Linked DNA regions of Oryctolagus cuniculus. The protein of the gene in region 1 interacts with the protein of each later gene in a biochemical or structural test. Links are inferred from orthologs where the notes say so. Each region holds a gene or a part of one and is shown in the gene's direction. Other genes may lie near its edges. The genes, in order: HSP90AA1, USP19, AHSA1, FKBP5, HIF1A, SUGT1 and PPP5C.

Region 1 (4,107 bases):
CCCAAGCGGCGGTTTAACCCACCAGGCTCCAGGGAGGGCAGCTGGGGACCTGCCCCTGCTCTCCGCGCCTCCCCCTCCACTCCTCTCCTCCCCCGCAGGCTGGGCAAACCTGGGCCAGTCACATTCCTCCCCATTCACTTGTAGGAAACGCACATGAGGGCCGGGACCCGCCCGCGGCTGAAGGGGTCTGTTCCCACCTTTGCGACGCTCTGCACGCTGTGGGCTGCGCTCACGCTCCCAAGCGCTCTCCAACCTTCTCCTGGAAGAGCGGGTTTTCCTAGAGACCACGAGGGAGCGGAGCGGTCAGGTGCCTTTAGGTTGGGAGCGTCCAGCTGTTCCAGAGGGCCAGGCCCGTCGAGGGAGGAAGTGGGCCAACAAAGGGAGAGCTGGACACAAAGGCTCCGAGGGCCGGCGCGCTGAGCCGCGGCGTCCTTCCAGGGCAGACCCCGACGCTGACAGTGAGGACCCTACAGCCTGGATGTGGCTCTTATTTTTTTTCTTTTTTAACATTTATTTGAAAGGTAGGGTGAGAGAGGTCTTCCACCCGGAAGTTCACTCCCCAGATGGCCAGGCTGCAGCGTGAGCCAGGGACTCCACGCGGTCTCCCACGTGGGGAGGGCCCGGCCGCCGCCGCCCCCGCCCCGGGCTCCGAGCGCCCCAGTCCCACTTAGACCTGGCCTGGGGCGGCCCCCGGGGCTCCGGCGCTGCACGCCGCTGCTTCTCCGGAAGCGAAAGGCTACGGGTTTCCCGGAACCCCGGCGGCGGCGGCGGCCGGGCGAGCGTGGTTCAGCACCTGGGCACGGGGAGGCCGTGGCATCGGGGAGCCGGCCCGGGGGGCTTCCGCGGCCCTCGCCCTCCTCACGCCCGGCCTCGGGCCGCACCTCTGCGGAAGCCCAGGCGCCGGAACGCAGCCCTCGACCCGTAACCGCCGCCGCAGGCCCGCAGCACGACTCCAAAACCCAGTCCCCAGACACAGCGGACGACCCGGCCCGGCGACCGAAAGCTGGCAAGGCCTGCACCCCAGGCCGCTGCACCTTGCGCGGGCGACTCGTTGGGAGCGGCCCCGAGCTGTCATAACCCACGGGCCATTTTTTGCACATTTCACACTACAAGGGCAGGGACCTCAGGGCTCGACGCCCCCTCCCCCGCCCCGGCTCGCCCGGCGCCGCGAGGACGCATGCGCACGCGCCCGCGCTCGCGCCCGCGCTTGGCGGGCTTAGGAGCCCGGAAGGCGCCGAGCCCGCGCAGGCGCACAGGGGCCGGCGCGAGGGCGCGCGGCGGCGCGGGCGGGCGGGGGGCGCCCGCCGTTCCCTGCGCGGGGTCGTGCGCGAGCCCGGGGCAGGGGCGGGCCACAGCCAGGGCGCAGGCGCAGGCGCGTGGCCGCGGTGGCGGTTGGGGAGGGTTCTTCCGGAAGGTTCGGGAGGCTTCTCGAAAAGGCGCCGCGCGCTGGGCGGGCCCGCCTCTATATAAGGGCGGCGCGGGGGCGGCGCGCCAGTTGCTCCAGCGTCCCGGTGCTGCTGCGTCGCGGAGGCCGTGCGGTTCTTCAGCCAAGGTGAGGGGGCTGCGGGGGGTCTCAGGCCCGGGGGTGTGCGGGGGCGGCGGCGGGGAGCGGGGGCGGCCGGGGGCCCCCTCGGCCGCGGTGCCCGAGCGGCCGCGGTTCGGCCTCCGCGGCCGGGGCCTGTGGAGCCGCCTCCGGCGGGCCGGGGGCGCCGCGAATGTTCTGGAGAGGCCGCGGGGCGGGGGCGGGGCGGGGGCGCCGGTGCGGGGCTGCGGGGGGTGGCGCCCAGCCCCCGGCCGTGCCGTGCCGGCCGCCATGGCGGGGCCGCGGCCCGCGGAGGGCGGCCGGCGGCGGCGCGGGGCGAGCGGGGCCCGGCCGCGGCGTCCGCCCCGCAGCGCGCACGCTCCCGCGCCTGCCGCAGCTCGAAATGAGGTCATCCCTTTGTGAGGCGCCCGCGCCGGCCTCGGGGCGGGCGGCGGGGGCCGTGCGGCGCCTGATGGGCCTCGTGCCCTTGGCAGATGCCCGAGGAGACCCAGACCCAAGACCAGCCGATGGAGGAGGAGGAGGTGGAGACGTTCGCCTTCCAGGCGGAAATCGCCCAGTTGATGTCCCTCATCATCAACACTTTCTACTCGAACAAAGAGATCTTCCTGCGGGAGCTGATCTCAAACTCGTCGGATGTAAGTGGCGGCGGGGAGGAAGGGGCCCTGGCCTCGGGGGGCGGGGGTGGGAGGGCGCCGGCTGGGTGCTGAGGACTTGGGGTCTTCCAGGCTCTGGACAAGATCCGCTATGAAAGCCTAACCGACCCCAGCAAGCTGGACTCGGGCAAGGAGCTGCACATCAACCTGATTCCCAACAAGCAAGACCGAACCCTGACCATCGTGGACACGGGCATCGGCATGACCAAGGCCGACCTGATCAACAACCTGGGCACCATCGCCAAGTCCGGCACCAAGGCCTTCATGGAGGCGCTGCAGGCTGGCGCCGACATCTCCATGATTGGCCAGTTCGGGGTCGGCTTCTACTCGGCGTACCTGGTGGCTGAGAAGGTGACGGTGATCACCAAGCACAACGACGACGAGCAGTACGCCTGGGAGTCCTCGGCGGGGGGCTCGTTCACTGTGCGGACCGACGCAGGTAGGGGGAGGGGCGCTGGGCGTGCTGGCGAGGGGGCCGGGGCTGGCGGGGCCGGCCTCGCGGGGTTCCGCCGCCGCGTTCGCCCGGGCCGGCCTGGCCTCGCGGGGTTCCGCCGCCTCGTTGGCCCGGGCCGTGCTGGCCTCGCGGGGTTCCGCCGCCCCGTGCGACCCGGCGCGCTGGCTTCCCCGCAGGTGAGCCCATGGGGCGCGGCACGAAGGTGGTGCTGCACCTGAAGGAGGACCAGACGGAGTACCTGGAGGAGCGGCGCATCAAGGAGATCGTGAAGAAGCACTCGCAGTTCATCGGCTACCCCATCACGCTGTTCGTGGAGAAGGAGCGCGACAAGGAGGTGAGTGACGACGAGGCCGAGGAGAAGGAGGACAAGGACAAGGAGGAGGAGGACAAGCAGCCCGACGACAAGCCGGAGATCGAGGACGTGGGCTCGGACGAGGAGGAGGAGGAGAAGAAGGACGGCGACAAGAAGAAGAAGAAGAAGATCAAGGAGAAGTACATCGACCAGGAGGAGCTCAACAAGACGAAGCCCATCTGGACCAGGAACCCCGACGACATCACCAACGAGGAGTACGGGGAGTTCTACAAGAGCCTGACCAACGACTGGGAGGACCACCTGGCCGTGAAGGTGAGCGCCCCGCGCCCGGAGGGTGGCAGCCCGGCCCCGGCGCCGTCGCGGTGGTGGTGGTTGGCACCGGGCCTGTGTGTCGTTGCAGCACTTCTCGGTTGAGGGGCAGCTGGAGTTCAGAGCGCTGCTCTTCGTCCCGAGACGAGCCCCGTTTGACCTGTTTGAAAACCGGAAGAAGAAGAACAACATCAAGTTGTACGTTCGCAGAGTCTTCATCATGGACAACTGTGAGGAGCTGATCCCTGAGTACCTGAGTGAGTAGGAGCGGGAGTGAGCCCAGTGTCGCTGGTGATGCCACCATGTCTCGTCCGTCTGCTGGGGGGGGGGGGGGCGGGGTGTGTGTGTGTGTGTGCTTAGACTGAGGGCGCGGTCTCCGCTACCTCAGATTTCATCAGAGGGGTGGTGGACTCGGAGGACCTCCCGCTGAACATCTCCCGGGAGATGCTGCAGCAGAGCAAGATCCTGAAAGTTATCAGGAAGAACTTGGTCAAAAAGTGTCTGGAGCTCTTCACGGAACTGGCAGAAGACAAAGAGAATTACAAGAAGTTTTATGAGCAGTTCTCCAAAAATATAAAGGTGGGTGCAGACACACCGACGGCTGCCAGCTGGGTCCACACTGCCCCGCGGGGAGTGGTGAACCGAAGCCGTTCTCACAGGCGGGCTCTGTTTCAGCTGGGGATCCACGAGGACTCCCAGAACCGCAAGAAGCTTTCCGAGCTGCTGAGGTACTACACGTCGGCCTCCGGCGACGAGATGGTGTCCCTCAAGGACTACTGCACCAGGATGAAGGAGAACCAGAAGCACATCTACTACATCACAGGTAGCCCGCGCG
Region 2 (3,500 bases), on another chromosome or scaffold:
AGAGCAACTGGGACTCGAACCAGCGCCCATATGGGATGCCAGCACTGCAGGTAGCAGTTTGATCTGCTGCGTCACAGCCCCAGCCCCATGGAGGATACTCCTTGAATGTGGTTCTATGCCACAGCACTGGCCCCATGGAGGAGACTCCTTGAATGTGGCTCCTCTGTGCTAATATGTTGTAGTCTTAGCTGGGCCTTGCTCCTTGAAGCAGCATGGAGGCCTTCAGTAAGAGAGCTAGAATGGTTGCCACCTGCCTTGGGCTGGTCTTCAGGCTCTGATGTACCAGGCTCCGTGTACCATTGGGCACTGAGACTGGTACCAGCAGAGGTGGGCCTCCATAGACCCAAGGTAGGAGCCAAGCTCTGGGGCAGGACTGGGGAGAGGTCTTACTGCACATGGGATCTGTGTGTTCTCTGTCCCCAGGTGATTAAGAATCGCTTCCATCGTGTGTTCCTGCCTTCCCACTCACTGGACACTGTGTCCCCATCCGATGTGCTCCTCTGCTTTGAGCTGCTGTCTCCAGAGTTGGCTAAGGAAAGGGTAGTGGTGCTAGAGGTACAACAGGTAAGTGAAGGCCAACCAGATGGTACAGGGCCCGGTGGCGGGGGGCAGGCTGGAGGGAGGGCACTCCTCCCTGGCCTTGCTGAGCCAGTCGACCCACCCTAGCGCCCCCAGGTGCCCAGCATCCCCATCTCCAAGTGTGCTGCCTGCCAGCGGAAGCAGCAGTCAGAGGAGGAGAAGCTGAAGCGCTGTACCCGGTGCTACCGTGTGGGCTACTGCAACCAGTGAGGACCCCCATTCTCTCCCCTCCTTCCGTCCACCCTTCCTTGCCACCCTGCCCTTCCCCTCTACACAGAGGCACAGGTTTTAAGACTTCTACCTGCCATTCTGTCCATCAGGCCCCTAGGGGAGGCAAGGCTGGTGGACCCAGTTCCCAGGGCCTAAGACTAGTTTTTAATACAGAGTTGTAGCAGGTGGGGCCGAAGCCCTGTGCTTACCTTCCCCCTCCCCTTCCCTCCAGGCTTTGCCAGAAAAACCACTGGCCTGACCACAAAGGCCTCTGTCGCCCTGAGAACATAGGCTATCCTTTCCTGGTCAGTGTACCTGCCTCACGGCTCACTTACGCCCGTCTTGCTCAGCTGTTGGAGGGCTATGCCCGGTAAGTGCCCATTGGTTAGACTAGGGTGGGAGAGAGAGAGGGCAGTGGTGCCAGTTGGGCTGGTCAGCATTCTTACTTGCCTTGCTCTCTGTTGCCAGGTACTCTGTGAGTGTGTTCCAGCCTCCCTTCCAGCCTGGCCGCATGGCCTTGGAGTCCCAGGGTCCTGGGTGCACTACGCTGCTCTCCACTAGCTCCCTAGAGGCTGGGGACAACGAGAGGGATCCCATTCAGCCGCCTGAGCTCCAGTTGGTGAACCCTGTGGCTGAGGGGGACACAGGGGTTCCCCGGGCATGGGCAGCCCCGGATCGGGGCCCTGTGCCTAGCACCAGTGGAGTTTCTCCTGAGGTTCTGGCTAGTGGGCCCATTGAGGGTGGCCCTTTGCCTGCTGGTGAAAGGGTGTCCCGGCCTGAAGGTAAGATCTGGAGAAAGGCTCTGGGAACTGGGACTGGAGATAGGAGAGGTTGGGTGCAGCTTGTTTAACCTCTGGAAGGCAAAGGAGCTCTGATGATCGTGTTTTCTCCCAGCTGCTGTGCCTGGGTACCAGCACCCAAGTGAAGCCATGAATGCCCACACACCCCAGTTTTTCATCTACAAAATCGATGCTTCCAACCGAGAGCAGCGGCTGGAGGACAAAGGTGTCGAGGCTGTGGGTGGGAGCCGTGGGCTGGGTTTGGCTGGCTGCCCTCCACACTTGCATGACCTCTCTGTCTGCCCATCTCCAGGAGACACCCCGCTGGAGCTGGGCGATGACTGCAGCCTGGCTCTGGTTTGGAGGAACAATGAGCGCCTGCCGGAGTTTGTCTTGGTAGCCTCCAAGGAGCTGGAATGTGCAGAGGATCCAGGCTCTGCTGGCGAGGCTGCCCGGGCTGGCCACTTCACCCTGGACCAGTGCCTCAACCTCTTTACGAGGCCTGAGGTGCTAGCCCCCGAGGAGGCCTGGTGAGAGCAGGGAAGCGGGCAGGTGGGTGGTGGGGCAGGGTGGAGGGGAGCCTTGCCGGTCTTGACCCCACCTCTGTCTCCCACCAGGTACTGCCCACAGTGTAAACAGCACCGCGAGGCCTCCAAGCAGCTGCTGCTGTGGCGCCTGCCCAACGTTCTCATCGTGCAGCTCAAGCGCTTCTCCTTTCGCAGTTTCATCTGGCGTGACAAGATCAACGACTTGGTGGAGTTCCCTGTTCGGTGAGCAGCGCACCCTGGTGCCTGAGGGCAGGGCACTGGGGCCAGGGTGGGCATCCCGGTCACCTAATTGTCTCACCCCTCCCTGACTGGGACCATAGGAACCTGGACCTGAGCAAGTTCTGCATTGGTCAGAAAGAGGAGCAGCTGCCCAACTATGACCTGTATGCTGTCATCAACCACTACGGAGGCATGATCGGTGGCCACTACACTGCCTGCGCACGCCTGCCCAACGATCGTAGCAGCCAGCGCAGTGACGTGGGTGAGGGCACACACAGCCAGCAGGATAGGTGGTGGGCTGGTGGTACAGGCTGTGTTCACACTCTTCCCACCCTGCTACAGGCTGGCGCTTATTTGATGACAGCACGGTGACGACAGTAGATGAGAGCCAGGTGGTGACGCGTTATGCTTACGTACTCTTCTACCGCCGACGGAACTCTCCTGTGGAGAGGCCCCCCAGGGCAGGGCATTCTGAGCACCACCCAGACCTAGGCCCTGCAGCTGAGGCTGCTGCCAGCCAGGTGAGACATGGGGATGCTTCATAGACCGGTAGGGGCCAACTCACAGCTCAGAGGGCAGGGCTGGGGGACACAGCGGTGTGCTGCAGCCACAGGCCCTGTAAGTGTCGGGATTCATGAGTTACAGACAGGTTCCTTTACATCACTCAGAGGCACCCTCGTGCCCTGGGGACGCTCACAAAGGGACACGTAAACCATCCTGTTGCCGCTGGTGTGTACATAGATGCCCACAGGGCAAAGGTCAAACAGACAACTGTTGAGAGCCTCACCAGGCACTATGCTGTGAACAGCTATACCTGACAGTCTCCTAGCTTCCCTTCACATGTGGCCCGCAGGCCAGTCCACAGACCCCCACTTGCGATCAGCCCCGTGTTCCGGGCCATACTCAGGACAGCCTGGCTGGGTTGGCCACAGCCCTGAGTGGCTGTCACACTCGCTGAGGTGAGCATCTATTCCTGCTAGTCTTTAGGGTCTTCTACCACTCTTTCTGACATAGTGTACCAAAGGCCTGGTTGGTGGACATAGCCACATGTCTCTTTTTGGCCACCTCCTTTCTGCCCCTTCTGCTTCCTTTGAGCCTTGTCAGGCTCAGAGAAATCGTGGCAGAAGACAGTGGTAAGTGTCTGGACCTGGGTGAAGGAAGCCAG
Region 3 (3,187 bases), about 22 Mb from region 1:
AACCCGAGGAGCGCAAGGTAAGTTGGCTTGCACGTGATGGGCTGGCGGGCTGTCCGCGAAAGGCAGTGCAAAGCTGCCTCCTCTTTAATTCCACTTCTCAGCTCTTTCTGTGACCCTGATCTCCAAGCCAGAACAGCCTATGGTCTGCCACTGGCACTTTATAGAGTCTACAATATGTAGGCATATGTCCATCTTTAATATGGCTTTTATTCATTTATAGCAAAATGTGGCTTTTATTCCTATATTGCAACCTCCAGAGCAAATGGAAGCTCTCAGGGACTTCACACGGTGACTCTTGATTGCATTCAGCACCAGTTAAGAGGTTGTGAGCGCAGAATGGTGTTCACCATAGACGCAGCTCTCCTCACTGGAGTGCTGACGTTTGGCATCAGGATACCAAGGGTTAGATCACTGACATCACTCACCAAGAGCTGGTTGGCGGCACTGCATTTGCAGGTGAGCCAGTGTTTCAGCGAGATGGAGTCAGTGGTTCGGGCTCAGCGCTTGGTTTGGAGCCCAGTTGCCCTTCTGCCAGCTCTAAAGGATGTCCAGGATGTAGGGAGAAAACTGCTTCCAGCTACAGAGCCATAGAGATTCTGTTTGAGAATCACACTGAGTGCTCCAGAATGCCTGGTGATTGGACTTGACCTTCGGCTGATGGGTTTTTTAATGAGCACCAGAGTCTTCCTCCTAGAGTGGTTGTTTTCTGTGAGAATTGAGGATGTTTCTGGAAAAGTTCTCTTCATAACTGAAACACACACAGATTCCCTCCAACCCTCTTATCCCTAGAGGTGAATGGCTTTGTGGAAGTGAATGGTAGAGCTGCCCCCAGGGCCATGGTGACTGAAGGTCACCGTTGCCCTCCACTGACCATTTTCACTGCCACTTTCACAGGCTAAGTCTGCTCCTGCAAAAACCCAGGCCAAACCTGTTGGTGTCAAAATCCCCACTTGTAAGATCACCCTTAGAGAAACCTTCCTGACATCACCAGAGGAGCTCTATAGAGTGTTTACCACCCAAGAGGTAAGCGTGCGCTTGTCCCTCAGGCCCCGGGCCGCCTGTGTGCCAGGTCCTCGGCGTGCAGAGGTACTGATGTCTGGAGCCCGGAGGCCTTCCTGATACAAGCAGAGGCAAAGGAAAAACAGCTTTGTTAACCCTCTTAGACTAGATCTGCTCCTCCGGTTTTCTCTTCAGTGCTAGTGTTGGGTCAATAAGTGGGACTCACTGAATTGTTGTTAGGAAAGTGAGTGGGAGCCGGCGCCGTGGCTCACTAGGCTAATCCTCCACCTTGCGGCGCCGGCACACCGGGTTCTAGTCCCGGTCGGGGCGCCGGATTCTGTCCCGGTTGCCCCTCTTCCAGGCCAGCTCTCTGCTGTGGCCAGGGAGTGCAGTGGAGGATGCCCCAAGTGCTTGGGCCCTGCACCCCATGGGAGACCAGGAGAAGCACCTGGCTCCTGCCATCAGATCAGCGCAGTGCGGCGGCCATTGGAGGGTGAACCATCGGCAAAGGAAGACCTTTCTCTCTGTCTCTCTCTCTCTCACTGTCCACTCTGCCTGTCAAAAAATAAAAAAAAAAAATTAAAAAAAAAAAAGGAAAGTGAGTGGGTCGGAAGTAATGGCATCGTGGGTTCAGAAAGGATCCCTGGAGTCCAAGCCTGGAGTGTAGTGGAAGAGGATGGGGGGAGACGAGACGTGCGGGGAGGCACGCGGCGCTTGTCCCTGGGTCCCGCTGAGAGCCGTGCATCTTCTCCCCGCCTGCTTTCCTGCAGCTGGTCCAGGCCTTCACCCACGCTCCTGCAGTGTTAGACGCAGACAAAGGTGGGAAGTTTCACATGGTAGACGGCAACGTCTCTGGGGAATTCACCGATCTGGTGAGTACCTGCTGGCCCCAGCCCCAGGTTTTGGAGCTGCCTTTGGTCAGATGAGTGAATTTTCTCAGCTCTGTAGGTAAAATTTAAGGCTTTAATCTCTGGTTAATAAAACTATGTTTTGTTTAGGTTTTCAAAAGAATGCTGTGATTTGAATTCTCTGCAAGTAATACAATTGCACAGGATAGAGTCAGTGTGAGAGGCAGATGGCTAATCCTAACTAGGACTGGGTACATTGTAGTCTACGCTATAGGCTGAGCTCTCTGATCATTTTAGGTCCCTGAGAAACATATCGTGATGAAGTGGAGGTTTAAATCTTGGCCAGAGGGTAAGCACACTTCTTTACTGCCATACCCCAGAACCTTTGCTTCTCCTCTTAGTCGTAAGCCCAGGTGGAAACCCTGGATTTGAAACCTCCCTCCCCTCTGCCTTTTCCCAGGGCACTTTGCCACCATCACCTTGACTTTTGTTGACAAGAACGGAGAGACAGAGTTATGCATGGAAGGCCGTGGCATCCCTGCTCCCGAGGAAGAGCGGACGCGGCAGGGCTGGCAGCGGTACTACTTCGAGGGCATCAAACAGACCTTTGGCTATGGCGCACGCTTGTTCTAGCTCCGGCCTGCCCTACACTTCAGTCCAGCCCTGTCCTGATGGGCTTGTGACTTGCAGGATTGCACCATCCCAAACGCTAACTTGGGGCTGGGGCCCTTCCCCTCCACATACATACACCTTGGGTTTGTGCATGTTTTCTGCTGGGTGGGGTCAGAGGGTGATTTCTTTTTTGTGTACATACGCTAAATAAACATAATTTTAAAAACACACATGTCTGCAACCTGGGCTGATTGGCTGTTCTGCTGAATACTGGAGGTGCTGGGAGTGGTGTGCCAGAGGGCGGGGGCTCCACACCCCCACCAGCAGCAGCTTGCCATATCCATCTCCATCTGACTGTTCTTCTGTAGTCAAGTTTCCTAGTAGGTTCTAACTTGCAGAAAGTTGGAGGTTGGAAGGGCTCCTCTGCACCCTGGGTGAGCCTTGATGGTTAGAGGCCTGAAGGGAGCCTGCTGCTCATGGCCAGGCGTTCCTGAGCTAGCCTTCTCAGACTGCCTGGTACAAGGGTTCTGCCTGATGACACTGACTGCAGGGGACGGTTGGTGCTAGCAGCAAGCAGTGCTGGCACTCCACTGTCGGGTGGAGGTGGCTTTCTGAGCTGCCCACTCTCCAAGGATTCTCTGTAGTAGAGAGTCAGCAGGTGCTGGCCAGATGTGTTGGAAACCTAGAGAGTCCTACCCTGTGCTGCTGTGTACTGAACAGTTACCACG
Region 4 (2,493 bases), on another chromosome or scaffold:
GTTTATGATGTGCGGTCAGAATTTTAACTATGACTTCCTGCCCTGGCAGCCACTGCCTGGCCCCGCTCTGCACAGAGCTCAGCCTCTCCCCGGGGTTCACACCATCCGCAGTCCCCACCTCAGGGTTTCTGTTCACATCCGCATCCCGCGGTTTCAGTTTCAGTCCTTCCACTCTGTTTCTTTCCTCTGGGAGGAGAACTCCCTCGTGTTTTGTTTGTTTGAAGATTTATTTATTTATTTATTTATTTGAAAGAGTTACAGAGAGGCAGAGAGAGAGAGAGAGAGTTCTTCCATCCTCTGGTTCACTCCCCAAATGGCTGCCACAGCCGGAGCTGCACCGATCTGAAGCCAGGAGCTTCTTCCAGGTCTCCTACGCGGGTGCAGGGGCCCAAGGACCTGGGCATCTTCCACTGCTATCTCAGCCCATAGCAGGGAGCTGGATCGGAAGAGGAGCAGCCAGGACTCAAACTGGCACCTGTGGCATGAGAGGCCGGCACTGCAGGCGGCAGCTTTACCTGCTACGCCATAGCGCTGGCCTCTCATATTATTTTCGTTTTCTTTTTTTCCCCAAATATGCTTGGGAATTTTCTAAAAATTGCATTCAATGCAGAAAGTAACTACAGTAGTATTTTTTGATCAGTAGTATACAGTTATCTTGCGCCCATTTTTTCTTTTTTTAATATAGATATTTATTTTGTTTACTGGAAAACAAAGTTACAGAGAGAGGTAGAGACAGATCTTCCATTCACTGGCTCATTCCCCAAATGGCCACAATAGCCAGAGCTGAGCTGATTCGAAGCCAGGAGCTTCTTCCAAGTCTCCCATGTGGGTGCAGGGGCCCAAAGACTTGGGCCATCCTCCATTGCTTTCCCAAGCAGGCAGTCCAGCAGCTGAGACTCAAACCAGTGCCCATGTGGGATGCTGACACTGCAGGCTGGGGCTTTAACCCACTGCACCAAAACGCCGGTCCCTTGAGCCCATTTTTCCAATTGCTTTTCCCAATTCCCTCGGCCAGAGAGCTTCAGTACGCTGTTTAACTACAGAATTCCTTGTTGAAATTCCTACAAATGAGAAGGATTACCTTCAGCTTTGTTTGTTTTGTTTGTTTGTTTGTTTTGTTTTGTTTTGTTTTGTTTTTGTTCCTAGGCCCTGGGACTGGACAGTGCCAATGAGAAAGGCCTGTACAGGAGGGGTGAGGCCCAGCTACTCATGAATGAGTTTGAGTCAGCCAAGGGGGACTTTGAGAAAGTGCTGGAAGTCAACCCCCAGAACAAGGCCGCACGACTGCAGATCTCCACCTGCCAGCGCAAGGCCAAGGAGCACAACGAGCGGGACCGCAGGATCTACGCCAACATGTTCACCAAGTTTGCCGAGCAGGATGCCAAGGTGCGTGCAGGCCCCGCTGCCTGCCTCAGGGCACATGCAGGACAGGCCTCGCCCCCTCGATTGGTGCCCCTGGAAGGTTAAGGGTAGGAGACAGAGACAGGTAGACAGCGGCGCGAGAGGCCCAGGAGTAGGGAAGATCACTTCCATCGTGGTGACCCAAAACTGGTTTGCAGCCGGAGGCTGAGGTGGCGCCACATCGGTTGGGAGGCCCTGCCCCGTCCACACAGCACGCAGAGGACACACCTTCCCTGGAGATGCACTAAAGCATATGCTGTTTACAAAGTCATTAACCCATCAGGTTTTTTTTTTTCCCTCAAATGATACTGCTTCCTTGTTGAGACTTGGGGAAGGGTTACAGGAGCCTTGCCATGCCTCTTCCCTGGTGGGCGAGCGTGACAGGAGACGGGTGTCTGCAGGGGCCTCGGGCCCCTTCCCCTGAGTGCGTCCTCCACTCTGGAACCCCCACTGGCTCATGGACTTAAGTGCCCAGCAGTGGTCCCAGTTGGCAGGCTAGTCACGTCAATAAGCTTACTTTTTACATTTCTGTCATCTTAGTGCACACGCCCGTCCATCTGCTAGTTCACTCCCCAGCTGTCCACAAGGGCCAGGGCTGGGAACTCAGTTCAGGGTCTCCCAGCTGGGCAGCAGGGACCCAATCCCTTGACTCATCACCGCTGCCTCCCAGGTTCTGCATTCGCAGGAAGCTGGAGTCGGGAGCTCCAGGCGGATATTGAACCGAGCCCGTCCAGGGTGGGCTGCGGGCTAGCCCAAGAAGAGCACGCCCCCCGCCCCCGGGTAGCCGTGGGGAGCACAGCCCTGACCTCCCTACGGGGCGGCCCTGTCAGGTCAGCGCTGTGCACTCTGGCCTTGGGCCTGGTGAGAGCCCATCTCCCTTCCTTTGGCTCTAACCCTCTTGACCTCTGACTTCTTCCTCAGGAAGAGGCCAGTAAAGCAATGGGCAAGAAGACGTCGCAAGGGGTCCCCGGCGAAAAACGCACCGAAAGCCAAGCGATGGAAGAAGAGAAGCCTGCAGGCCACGTATGACGCCACGCCACGGAGGGACCAGAGTCCCCCCGAACTCGGCCCCTCCTCGTGGGCTTTCACCCA
Region 5 (3,500 bases), about 37 Mb from region 1:
GTAAGAATACTGGCCTTGGAATAGCCCTGCTGTCTTTGTTTCTCTGATTTCATATTTGTACATGAGATGGTAAAACTTTCCTCAAAAGAATCCTAAATGAAATTCTGTGTGAGATTACTATAAAAGGTTATATGATATAACACATGGCTTTTGTTTCTTCATGAACTCTTAGCTCATTGGTTTGTGAATATAATGAACATCTTAAATTAATCTTTCACTTACCTATTTCAGTAGGCTCCTGCACTGTCTGTCTTCTCCATTACTACCATATTCTAGTCCACCTTCCATATTGCTACCAGGCTAAGCTTCCTAGTGTAATTTTTTTAATGCTTATTTTTTTAAAGGTTTATTTATTTGAGAGGCAGATTATAGAGTAATATAGCCATTCTGCTGTTTTTTAAACATTTATTTATTTGCAAGTCAGAGTTACACAAAGGAGAAGCAGAGAGAGGGAGAGCAGAGAGAGAGAGGTCCTCCATCTGCTGGTTCACTCCCCAGATGGCCACAATGACCAGAGCTGGGCCAATATGAAGCCAGGAGCCTCCTATAGGTCTTCCACATAGGTGTAGGAGCCTAGGTACTTGGGCCGTCTTCTACTGCCCTCCCAGGCACATTAGCAGGGAGTTAGATCAGAAGTGTGGGAGCCAGGACTCAAACTGAAACCCATAAAGGATTCCAGCTCTGCAGACAGAGGTTTAGCCTACTACCCCACAGTGCCAGCCCCATCAGTTGCTCGTTTTCTTTACAACATTTGAAGTCCCTTTATTATCCTCAACATTAAATCCTTGCCTACATCATTTGTTATTATCATACTTTCCTAGATTTATCCCTCCCACTAAAATCTGTGGTCACCTCTGTTACTAAGATTTTAGTCATTTATTTTTGCTACTTTGGAGACCATCCTTCAGTATTTTAATATGAGTGCCAAAGAGTGTGACAGTGCATTGTTAAGAATCGCCCACTTTGGAACAGCTTTCTCCTCCTCCAACCTTGGCGTGCCTAACAATGGCTGCTTGAGCTCAGGTTTCTGCTTGTTAGCTTTTCTGGACAAGCCTTCACCATTTGACCAGTGAACACAGTGTCTTTTTATTATTTGCTTATCTACTTTCACAGTGGGTTATCAACTTCTTGAGGGCAAGGTTTAGGTATTTAACTTGGGTATTTTAATTCTCCATTCATTTCACATAGTGAACATTTACTGTGTTAATTACGTTAAACACAAAGATGGAGCTGTTGCTCACCTTCCTTCTTAAACCCTGTCCTGTACGTCACTGGTATCGTTTTCCTTCCACTAAAGAAAATACAGCACACAACTTAGAAAGATCTTCATCGTTTCTGGATATTCTGGGACCGTCCTTAGCTCATGCCTCCTGTTAGTGACAAAGACTTCTTTTGTGCTGATTTCATCATATGGATCGGCAGAGAAATTCTGATCTCTTTGTGTCTGTCTTGTGCTTAACTGCCAATTTCCCTGTCACCAGCGCTCTTCTCAAAGGACAGCCAGAGGTTTTTTTGGCTGAATTTAATCACGTAGTTGAATTATCTCACTATGAATAGTTGCATCTTCATTTCATATTGGCATTTTAAAATTCCAGATGCATGAGGGGTCATGCATCTCAGGGAATCTTAAAATGACAACATCATTTCACAGTCCCCCTCCCCTCGTTGTGTCAAGTACTCATTTAAGAATTACTAATCTCTCTCTCTTGACAGTGGTATTATTCAGCACGACTTGATTTTCTCCCTTCAACAAACAGAATGTGTCCTCAAACCAGTTGAATCTTCAGATATGAAAATGACTCAGCTGTTCACCAAAGTGGAATCAGCAGATACAAGTAGTCTCTTTGACAAACTGAAGAAGGAGCCTGATGCTTTAACTCTGCTGGCCCCAGCTGCTGGAGACACAATCATATCTTTAGATTTTGGCAGCAATGGTGGGTATTTTAGTTAGTTAATCTCCTGAAGTATATATGTTGTGGCAAGGCCCATTTCAAGTGAACTTGGCTCTGATGCTTTCTGTTGGTAATCATTTGGACATGATTATAAATCTTGTTTTTCATAGTCATTTTGAAAGTATTTAAATAATTTTGTCCTTATAATTTTTTTAGCATTCTTGCTTTTTCTTAGGGATTGTTGAGTTTTGTGCTTCAAAATGCCTTCATCCCACTTCAGTTTTCCCCAGCTACTCTGCTGTTTCTGTATCCTGCTTTCAGATTGTCTCCACAATAGGTGTAGCTGCATTAAAGGATGAACAAATAGTTATACCATAATTTTACTATATTTTACAATATACTATCATTTCAAGCTAGGTTAAATTTTAGTGTAAATAAAGGTTGGAATTACAAGTCTTTTATTGCCATGTAGATTAAAATGAGTTGTAATAGTGGACTGTAAAAATATCTCAAGATTTATAACATAGCATCTGTAAACTTCTTGATTAAAGAAAATTTGAGTGGATTAGATAAACCTTTTGTAAAAAGGAGTACATTGCTATGTATGTTAAAATTCTTAATGCTTTAGATTGACTAATTCTTTTCCCCACAGACTCAGAAACTGATGACCAACAACTTGAGGAAGTTCCATTATATAATGATGTCATGTTCCCTTCATCCAATGAAAAATTGCAGGATATAAATTTGGCAATGTCTCCATTACCTGCCTCTGAATCTCCAAAGCCACTTCGAAGTAGTGCTGACCCTGCACTCAATCAAGAAGTTGCATTAAAATTGGAACCAAATCCAGAATCACTGGAACTTTCTTTTACCATGCCCCAGATTCAAGATCAGCCAGCAAGTCCTTCTGATGGAAGCACCAGACAGAGTTCACCTGAGGTAGGTATCGTAATATAACAGCAGGGCAACTTTCAGATTGTAGCATTCAGGTATGTATTTGTATATCTGGTTCAGATTTTAATTTGGACCACATGTCACTGTGTGTGTGTGCTGGAGAGAGAGAGAGACACACACACACACAACACACACACCATCGCATGTGTTTTCAGCACAAAGATAGGAACATGGGAAGGAGTTGGTTTGATATTACTCAGAAGGTAAAACTTGGGTTTATTCTCTCTGGATTCTAAATTTGAGACTTTTTTGTCTTATAGATATAAACATAGAAACAATTTATCCATGTGCTCAAGATAACACCAGCATATACCTAAAGGCAAAAAACTTATTTTCAAGGTTTAAGTGGGAAAAGACCTTCTAACTCTCTTCCCAATATAGCCCTGTTTCAAAAAACTGAATAAGTGTAACATGAAAATACAAAGTCTTACACAGAACTTAATAATTGGTGTTTTTTATTGTAGCTCTGTGTTGATATTAACAGTCCTACAAGCACAATAAAAATTGTCTTTTTTTTTCTTTTTTTGACAGGCAGAGTTAGTGAGAGAGAGACAGAGAGAAAGGTCTTCCTTTTTCCCTTTGTTCACCCCCAAGCGGCCACTACAGCCGGTGCGTTGCAGCCGGCATGCTGCGCCGATCCGAAGCCAGCATCCT
Region 6 (4,082 bases), on another chromosome or scaffold:
ACTCCCCAGATGCCTGCAACAGCCAGAGCTGAGCCAATTAGAAGCCAGGAGCCAAGAGCCTCTTCTAGGTCCCCAACACAAGCGCAGGGGCCCAAGGACTTGGGCCATCTTGTACTGCTTTCCCAGGCCACAGCAGAGAGCTGGATCGAAGAGGAGCAACCAGGACTCGAACCAGCACACACATGGGATGCTGGTGCCCCGGGCCAGGTCTTTAACCTGCTGCACCACAGCGCCTGCCCCAAGATCTCTGTCATCTTGATATTGGCATCTATTGATTATTCTTTGTGCCCTCCACCTTCCAGTTTGAGATCTTTCTGATTCTTGCCGTTTTCCAGTAGTGACAAGTAATTTTTCAGTTGAATCCTGGATATTTTCATATTCTGTTCAAGAAATCTGGATCTTATTTAAACCTTACCCATTTTAGTTGGCCTTGTCTGATAATGTGTTGGTTGGGGAACGCAAGGCACTATGTCATTACTGCCTGGAGGACATAAAAGTTCAGGCATCCAACTTTGCTTCCATTGGCACTGAAACTGGGACAGTCTAAGCTCCCTGCTCAGCCCTTGCTGGTTGGGTGGGGCTTAGTGAGGTGCTTAGCTGTAGTAATTCATTGTCTACAAGTTTTCTGTCTTCCTAGACTCTCCTTTTCGTTCTTTTGGCCACAAAGAGCAGGCCTTTATTGAGGCTTTTTTGTTTACTGGTTTACTCACCTTGGTGTTTCCAGCTTCTTCAACTCCAAGGCTAGAATATATGAGGGCAAAGGAAAATCCAGGGGTTTAACTCCATGTCACTTTTTGTGTCCCACGATCTCTGGCAAATTTATCAACTTCCTTTGTTTTCTGGGTTTTTAGTTTGCTAGTGGAAAGAATAGGAAAAAAAAATATCTATTTGGTCTTCTCAGAAAGGAAAGTCATTCTCACTACTGACTGGGTGGACTGTAGTGTGCTGTACAAAAATACCAGTGTGTCAGACAAAAGAGCATTGCAGAGTATATGTCCACTGTATATAGAGAGCAAGTGAGCCAGGTATACCCCTAACACACCATCTCATCTGTGTGACAACACTGACCTGGAGCATTGCAGAGTATGTATCCACTGTATACAGAGAGCAAGTGAGCCAGGTATACCACTAACAAACATCTCCTCTGTGTGACAACACTGACCTGGAGCATTCCAGGGACGACTTCTGTTCTTGTGGGAAAACAGAAAAAATACAGTAGACTCTGTCCTCTGTAATTGGGACAAGACAATTTAGAACAATATAACTTGAGAGAAATGCTAAATTGATCTGGAGTCTGTCAGGAGAAAAAGGAGAATTAGTCATTAGTGAGTATGTTCAGGTTATAAATTGCATCTACTTCTTTCAGTTTTGTAACTGAAAAGTTCTGTTAGGTTCAGTGCATCACGCAAGCTTACCATGTTTAATTCAGTCATTCATTTGAAGCCTACCATGTGCCAGGCCTCTGTGCTTTGAACTAGAATATGAGTATATTCAGCCCTCTTAATCTACAAGTTCCACTTCTATGGATTCAGCCAACCAGAGATTGAAACTAGGAAAAAGAGAAAAAATGAAACTCAGTCTGTACTAAAAATTTTTTCCTTTCATTATTTCCCAAACAATATACAACATCTATTTATATAACATTGACATTGCATTTGGTATTATAACTAATCTAGAGATAATTTAAAGTATTTGGGAGTCTGTGTGTGAGATATTTGCTAATACTCCATTTTATATAAGGAACTTGAACATCTGCAGATTTTGGAACTTGAGTATCCACAGGGTTAGAGGGGTGGCAGTGGTCTTGGAACTGGTTCTCTACAGATGCCAAGAAGTGACTATATTAGTAAAATATATTCCCTTACTCTGAGGAGCTCTCAGATTTATTTGCAGGCAAGGGTGGGAGGCAGATATAAGAAGGCAAACCCTTAAATTACAACTGCATAGTAATAGGTGTTATGTTAATAGTAATTAGGTTCATACAGAAGAGTAGAAGATTAGTCTTGATTAGGGTCAAAGAAGACTGCGGAGAGATGGTGACATTTCATGTTGAGAGGATAACTAAAAATACAGAAAAGAAATGGGCTGGAGAGGAGATCTCATGCAGAGGAAAATGAGTAGGGGAGTATCACAGAGCACATAGGACATAGGGGTTCATTGAATTTCCAGTGTAACAGGGTATATAACTTCATACATTTGTCATGAACACAACTGGTTATAATAAACAGATAATAACAGTCATTTATTATGAGGTATTATGTGCTATATATAATTGTATATCCTATACTTCTTATGATCAGTAACACCGCAGGTTAGTTTACACCAGCATCATAAACATGAATAATTCCATGTGCTATGAAGTGGCAATGCCAACAGCTGTGGCATTACTGTTATGGGAATTTTGCAGCTTCGTTGTTGTTGTATGAAACCACTGTTGATACGGTTTAGATATGTTTTGTCCCTGCCAAGGGTTCATTCTTGATTCCAGGTGCGATGATAGGACCTTTAAGAGGTAAGGGCCTAATAGGAAGTTATTATTAAGTCATTGGGAGCAGTTACCCCAGAAGGAATTGATGGTAGTTCTTGTGAGACCCTCATTAGTTCTCAGGAGAGGATTTTATAAAAGAGCAAGTCTGTCCCTCCTCCTTCCTATCTAGCCTTGTCGCCTTCCTTTACACATTCACCTCATGATGCCACATAGCTCTCAATAGAGTTGGTATCTTGCTCTTTGGACTTTCAGTCTCCAGAAACTGTGAACTAAATAAGCCTCTCTCGTTATTGAAACAAAAATTTGATTAATTGACCTAAATGTTATTATGTGGTACCCTATAATATTTGTAATTGTGCTAGGTTGTGGTACATTCAATAAATGGTAAATAATCAGTTCTTCATTGAGATACTGTGTACATGCGTGTGTCTAACTTTTGACTTTGAAAACATTTTCAAGTAAACTTGAATGAGTTTTGCACAGAGGAAACATGAAGTTGAGTCCCTTTGAAGCTCCAACCAGCTAGCATAGAGTTTATTTATCTGGTGATTACTCTCTTACAGCAAAAAGAATTGTATCATTATTTGCAGGGTGGGGGGCAGTTTTATTTTAATTTGAAAGTTTTTCCACATATACCTCTGTGCTAATCAACAGAGGGAGAGATGGAGCCTTATATGACAGTGTATGTGAACTTGATGCTCCTACTTGACTACTAATAGTTTCCTTTTCAAATTTTGTGAAACTTAAATTCTCTCTGGACGAGATTAAATGAAAATAATGTTTTTAGTTTCTATTGAGCTATGTATAGTGTGTGTGTGATCTATTAGAGTTTATATTGAGCTGTTGATATATTTATAATGAACCTGTATTTGAGTCTGTATACTTAGAACATTTTTAGGAAAATGCTCTTGATCATTTTTGATATTATGGTCCTGGAGTTAATATCTTTTTTTTTTTCCCTTTTATTACAGATGGAGTCCGGTGGTACGGTTTTGAGTACCAACTGGTCTGATGTAGGTAAAAGAAAAGTTGAAATCAATCCTCCTGATGATATGGAATGGAAAAAGTACTAAATAAATTAACTTGACACCACTGTATTGCATACATTCACCTAATGCCCATTGTGTGTTGATACTGCATTCTTAAATTTTGAACACTGAGTATTTTTTTGAAAGATTATACCTCTTTACCTCTTTGTGCATTAGAATTTATTTCCCTTCAAGTGTTCTAAGAGTCTAATGAAGAAAGATCAAATTTTTATCACTTATGTCCTTAAGGATTTTAGATATGCTGAACTGAATGAAGTATCATTTGCTACTAGATAGATAGTTCTATTTAGTTGTGGGAGTGGAGAAATCTTCAATGGCATATCTCGGGTTATTGCCTTATTTTTGATGCAGTATTCTGTAATTTATTAGACCAGGCAACTTTGGATGAGCATAAAATTTTCAACTTCAGTGTTATATTGTGTTTGCTTTTAAATGAAGTTGTAAATATAATTTTTCTATGAAGAAGTTTGGTTTACTTACCTTTGTCTTTCAGTTTTTAATGAGAACCTTGAGAAATTATTTATCACAAGGAATTCTCGTTTATT
Region 7 (3,500 bases), on another chromosome or scaffold:
GTGCGCACCAGCAGGAAGCGGAGTCGGGGTCAGACCAGGCCTGCGGGCTGGAACGCAGATGCCCCGTCCAGCAGGCTGAGCACCGGCCCCTGGTGCTTCTGCCAGGATCCAGGAGGCTCACTGCCCGCCCCCCTTCCAGATTCTGGTGCAGGTCAAGGAAGTCCTCTCCAAGCTGAGCACGCTCGTGGAGACCACGCTGAGAGAGGTGCGCTGGGGGCGGGGCCTCTCGGACACCCCCACCCGACCCGGTCTCGTCTCTGCATTCTCGTCCCCTGACTGTCTCCCCCGACTGTCTCGCATGCGGCTTCTTGGTCTGCCCTGACCTTTGCCCCTCCCCTCACCTCTGCCCCCTCCCCACGTCTCTCTCTGGGCCCCTCCCTCTCCGGTGGCCTCTTTTCTTCCAGACAGAGAAGATTACGGTATGTGGGGACACCCATGGCCAGTTCTACGACCTCCTCAACATATTTGAGCTCAACGGTTTACCCTCAGAGACCAACCCCTACGTATCCTTGTGTGCAGAGCCGCCTCGCCCACCCCCAGCCCTGACCCCCAGCCCAGGTCGTCTCGGGGAGGGGAGCCCCTGGAGAGCAGGCTCCGCCAGGGAGGGAGCGGCCTGAGCCGTGAGCAGTGCCCAGGTGGGGGGCAGTGGCAGGCTGGCCTGGCACTCCAGGCTCCTGGCTCGGTCAGCTGTGCTGTGTGAGCCGAGCCGGTGGCCGGCCTGGTGTCTCTGAGCTGAGGTGCCGTGTGACCCGAGCCAATGGCCGGCCCGGTGTCTCTGGGCCCGATGTGCTGTGTGACCCGAGCCAGTGGCTGGCCCGGTGTCTCTGAGCTGAGGTGCCGTGTGACCCGAGCCAGTGGCCGGCTCGGTGTCTCTGGGCCCGATGTGCTGTGTGACCCGAGCCAATGGCCGGCCCGGTGTCTCTGGGCCCGCTGTGCTGTGTGACCCAAGCCAGTGGCCAGCACCTGGCAGTGCCCACGCCACATTCCATCCTGGCTTTGCCGCTCCCCAGTGGTGGGACCGTGGCTGGTTATGTTGCCTCCTGGAAACCACCCTGGTTTCCTCTGGTGAGTGCCAGGGCCGCCTTGGCGCCCTGAAGGGTTTGCAGAGAGGATTCCGGGCTGACGAGCGGTCGCTTTGTTGGCCACCAGGTTTGTGAGCTGCTGGTGGGGGCCCTGGGCCTGTCCTGAGGCAGCTGCAGCAGACTGCACACCGGGCAGGGAAGGGCCTGGCACGGCCTCCTGAGCCCCACTGAGTCCCTGCTCCTGGGGGAGAGCTCACGGGAGCTTGGGGGCCAGGCGAGGGGAGAGGACAGCCCCCCACCCGTCTGCCCCAGCCCACGGCTGTTTCCTTAGCGGGGTGGATATTCAATGGCGACTTCGTGGACCGCGGCTCCTTCTCCGTAGAAGTGATCCTCACCCTTTTCGGCTTCAAGCTCCTGTACCCAGACCACTTTCACCTACTTCGAGGTGAGCCACAGGGCAGCAGGCTCAGGTCCCTGGGGGCTGGGGGGCACTCACTCTCCCTGGCCTGATCTGTAAAGCAAAGAAAGCCATGGCAGCTGCACGTACAAGGGTCCTGGGGCAGTTTCTGTCATGTCTGTGTTCCACCTGGGTCCGTGTGAGGGCGCAGGTCCGGGCAGGGCCGCTGGAGGAGGGGACGGGTGGAGCTCTGGGCTTTGATGGGGGCTGATCAGGGCGGAGTCTGGGGCTGGCTCTCAGTGGTTCCCACCTCCAGGAGGCTGCTGGACACCGGGAAGAGCAGGGCAGGTCTGGTTCTCACGTGAATGACAGCCTGGGGCAGGGGCTGCCCTGTGAGAGGTCGGGCCAGTGGGGAGGGGCGCAGAGAAGCAGCAGAGCAGGAGGAGGGAGGGAGTGGGCTCCTCTGGTCAAGACCCTCCCTCACCCCCGGCCCCTTGGGACTGCCAGCCTGGAGGGTACACAGTGGGAGGACTCGGCCACTGCCCAGGACGGGGGTGGTTTCGTGCCTCGGCCACTGCCCCGAGGGTGGAGCTGTCAGTAGGGCAGGGCCTGGGGCCTGGGTGAGATCTCCCAGTCCAGTTGCTGCCTTCAGGAATGGTCTGAGCGCAGGGTCCACCCCTCTGGCTGCTGCGACGGGCCGCTGCGGGCGCTGGGACTGACTGGCTCGGGCTGCCTGCCACATGGGCAGTCCAGCCTGATGCCCAGGCCTGCACCTGCGGGTGCCGGGCGGGGGGAGACGGGGGACCTGCGGGCTGAGGGCTCTCCCTCTCCCGCCGACGGCCAGGCAACCACGAGACGGACAACATGAACCAGATCTACGGCTTCGAGGGCGAGGTGAAGGCCAAGTACACGGCCCAGATGTACGAGCTGTTCAGCGAGGTGTTTGAGTGGCTGCCGCTGGCCCAGTGCATCAACGGCAAAGTGCTGGTGAGGACGCGGGGATGGGCACCCGGGCAGGGGCGGGGCCGGCCCTCCCCCCCTCCCCGGGCACACGGGCAGACGGGCGGGGCCGGCCCTCTCCTCACCTGGCCACCCCCTGCCCCCCCAGATCATGCACGGGGGCCTGTTCAGTGAGGACGGCGTCACTCTGGACGACATCCGGAAGATCGAGCGGAATCGGCAGCCCCCAGACTCAGGTGAGGAGGTGGGGCCGGCGCCCCAGCAGGGCGCAGCAGGTGAGCCTCGGGGCCCCTGCTGGCCGGGGGGCTGGAGCGTCCACGGGCAGGGCGAGGCTGTGGGGAGCCCTGGGAGCCCATCTGCTGGCCCTTGGAGGGAGGCTGCAGCTCCGTGCACCTGTGCGAGTGTCACACAGGGCTGGGGGTGCAGCATTGGAGCCGACTCCCCGAGAGCAGCAGCTGCCGCCCGCGCACAGTCGGGCGAGCCCGGGCAGCTTGGGGGTGGGAGGAGCCCACGGTGTGGCTGGCGTGAGCTCGACTGGACCAGATCCTGCAGGGAAAAGTAGGTGAATGGGGTGCGGGGAGGTCGGCAGGGAGGCTGGGGCTGGGAGGGCAGGCCCGGCAGAGGAGGGCCCCGTCCACCCGCCTCGGGCCGCGCTGGGGGCTGGGCACGGCCGGCCAGGAAGCCCCTGACGCCTCCCTCCACCCCCCAGGTCCCATGTGCGACCTGCTCTGGTCGGACCCACAGCCACAGGTGAGTCTCGGGCCCTCGGGGGCGGCGGGGGTGGGGCGGCAGTCTCTGAGCCCCGTCTCCCGCAGAACGGGCGCTCGGTCAGCAAGCGAGGCGTGAGCTGCCAGTTCGGGCCTGACGTCACCAAGGCCTTCCTGGAGGAGAACCACCTGGACTACATCATCCGCAGCCACGAGGTCAAGGCCGAGGGCTACGAGGTGGCGCACGGTGGCCGCTGCGTCACCGTCTTCTCCGCCCCCAACTACTGGTGCGTTCCCGCCGGCCGCCCTGCCGGCCACAGGTTTTGTCTGGGTTCCAGTTACTTAAGGCCGAGCAGCAGAGGGGATGCCGCGTGCCCTCCCTTGCCCTTCCCCGTCTGGGCTGTGGTCTCCGCC

The links.
Region 2: the proteins of HSP90AA1 (region 1) and USP19 form a complex in vitro, tested with the Homo sapiens proteins (3 studies listed by BioGRID). The link is inferred for Oryctolagus cuniculus from reciprocal best matches to the Homo sapiens genes HSP90AA1 and USP19.
Region 3: the proteins of HSP90AA1 (region 1) and AHSA1 form a complex in vitro, tested with the Homo sapiens proteins (4 studies listed by BioGRID). The link is inferred for Oryctolagus cuniculus from reciprocal best matches to the Homo sapiens genes HSP90AA1 and AHSA1.
Region 4: the proteins of HSP90AA1 (region 1) and FKBP5 form a complex in vitro, tested with the Homo sapiens proteins (5 studies listed by BioGRID and IntAct, with this or other methods). The link is inferred for Oryctolagus cuniculus from reciprocal best matches to the Homo sapiens genes HSP90AA1 and FKBP5.
Region 5: the proteins of HSP90AA1 (region 1) and HIF1A form a complex in vitro, tested with the Homo sapiens proteins (4 studies listed by BioGRID and IntAct, with this or other methods). The link is inferred for Oryctolagus cuniculus from reciprocal best matches to the Homo sapiens genes HSP90AA1 and HIF1A.
Region 6: the proteins of HSP90AA1 (region 1) and SUGT1 form a complex in vitro, tested with the Homo sapiens proteins (4 studies listed by BioGRID, with this or other methods). The link is inferred for Oryctolagus cuniculus from reciprocal best matches to the Homo sapiens genes HSP90AA1 and SUGT1.
Region 7: the proteins of HSP90AA1 (region 1) and PPP5C form a complex in vitro, tested with the Homo sapiens proteins (4 studies listed by BioGRID, with this or other methods). The link is inferred for Oryctolagus cuniculus from reciprocal best matches to the Homo sapiens genes HSP90AA1 and PPP5C.

Annotation. Positions count from the first base shown.
Region 1 is NC_091451.1:45,356,478-45,360,584, reverse strand, and holds the start of HSP90AA1 (heat shock protein HSP 90-alpha), read left to right. Parts: upstream 1-1,307; 5' UTR 1,308-1,552; intron 1,553-2,016; coding exon 2,017-2,178; intron 2,179-2,268; coding exon 2,269-2,635; intron 2,636-2,826; coding exon 2,827-3,275; intron 3,276-3,363; coding exon 3,364-3,529; intron 3,530-3,660; coding exon 3,661-3,851; intron 3,852-3,947; coding exon 3,948-4,095; intron 4,096-4,107. UniProt on the Homo sapiens protein: Molecular chaperone that promotes the maturation, structural maintenance and proper regulation of specific target proteins involved for instance in cell cycle control and signal transduction.
Region 2 is NC_091441.1:100,054,800-100,058,299, forward strand, and holds part of USP19 (ubiquitin carboxyl-terminal hydrolase 19), read left to right. Parts: intron 1-423; coding exon 424-564; intron 565-666; coding exon 667-785; intron 786-1,021; coding exon 1,022-1,159; intron 1,160-1,257; coding exon 1,258-1,571; intron 1,572-1,683; coding exon 1,684-1,794; intron 1,795-1,881; coding exon 1,882-2,098; intron 2,099-2,185; coding exon 2,186-2,338; intron 2,339-2,436; coding exon 2,437-2,597; intron 2,598-2,677; coding exon 2,678-2,856; intron 2,857-3,500. UniProt on the Homo sapiens protein: Deubiquitinating enzyme that regulates the degradation of various proteins by removing ubiquitin moieties, thereby preventing their proteasomal degradation. Stabilizes RNF123, which promotes CDKN1B degradation and contributes to cell proliferation.
Region 3 is NC_091451.1:23,218,905-23,222,091, forward strand, and holds the end of AHSA1 (activator of 90 kDa heat shock protein ATPase homolog 1), read left to right. Parts: coding exon 1-17; intron 18-894; coding exon 895-1,023; intron 1,024-1,769; coding exon 1,770-1,871; intron 1,872-2,144; coding exon 2,145-2,196; intron 2,197-2,307; coding exon 2,308-2,480; 3' UTR 2,481-2,687; downstream 2,688-3,187. UniProt on the Homo sapiens protein: Acts as a co-chaperone of HSP90AA1. Activates the ATPase activity of HSP90AA1 leading to increase in its chaperone activity.
Region 4 is NC_091436.1:133,898,234-133,900,726, forward strand, and holds part of FKBP5 (peptidyl-prolyl cis-trans isomerase FKBP5), read left to right. Parts: intron 1-1,146; coding exon 1,147-1,386; intron 1,387-2,322; coding exon 2,323-2,430; 3' UTR 2,431-2,493. UniProt on the Homo sapiens protein: Immunophilin protein with PPIase and co-chaperone activities. Component of unligated steroid receptors heterocomplexes through interaction with heat-shock protein 90 (HSP90).
Region 5 is NC_091451.1:8,781,650-8,785,149, reverse strand, and holds part of HIF1A (hypoxia-inducible factor 1-alpha), read left to right. Parts: intron 1-908; exon of another isoform or gene 909-1,713; coding exon 1,714-1,934; exon of another isoform or gene 1,935-2,235; intron 2,236-2,544; coding exon 2,545-2,831; intron 2,832-3,500.
Region 6 is NC_091440.1:60,137,903-60,141,984, reverse strand, and holds the end of SUGT1 (protein SGT1 homolog), read left to right. Parts: intron 1-3,459; coding exon 3,460-3,561; 3' UTR 3,562-3,582; downstream 3,583-4,082. UniProt on the Homo sapiens protein: May play a role in ubiquitination and subsequent proteasomal degradation of target proteins.
Region 7 is NC_091449.1:10,796,571-10,800,070, reverse strand, and holds part of PPP5C (serine/threonine-protein phosphatase 5), read left to right. Parts: intron 1-139; coding exon 140-205; intron 206-404; coding exon 405-503; intron 504-1,361; coding exon 1,362-1,467; intron 1,468-2,263; coding exon 2,264-2,406; intron 2,407-2,527; coding exon 2,528-2,615; intron 2,616-3,088; coding exon 3,089-3,129; intron 3,130-3,194; coding exon 3,195-3,373; intron 3,374-3,500. UniProt on the Homo sapiens protein: Serine/threonine-protein phosphatase that dephosphorylates a myriad of proteins involved in different signaling pathways including the kinases CSNK1E, ASK1/MAP3K5, PRKDC and RAF1, the nuclear receptors NR3C1, PPARG, ESR1 and ESR2, SMAD proteins and TAU/MAPT.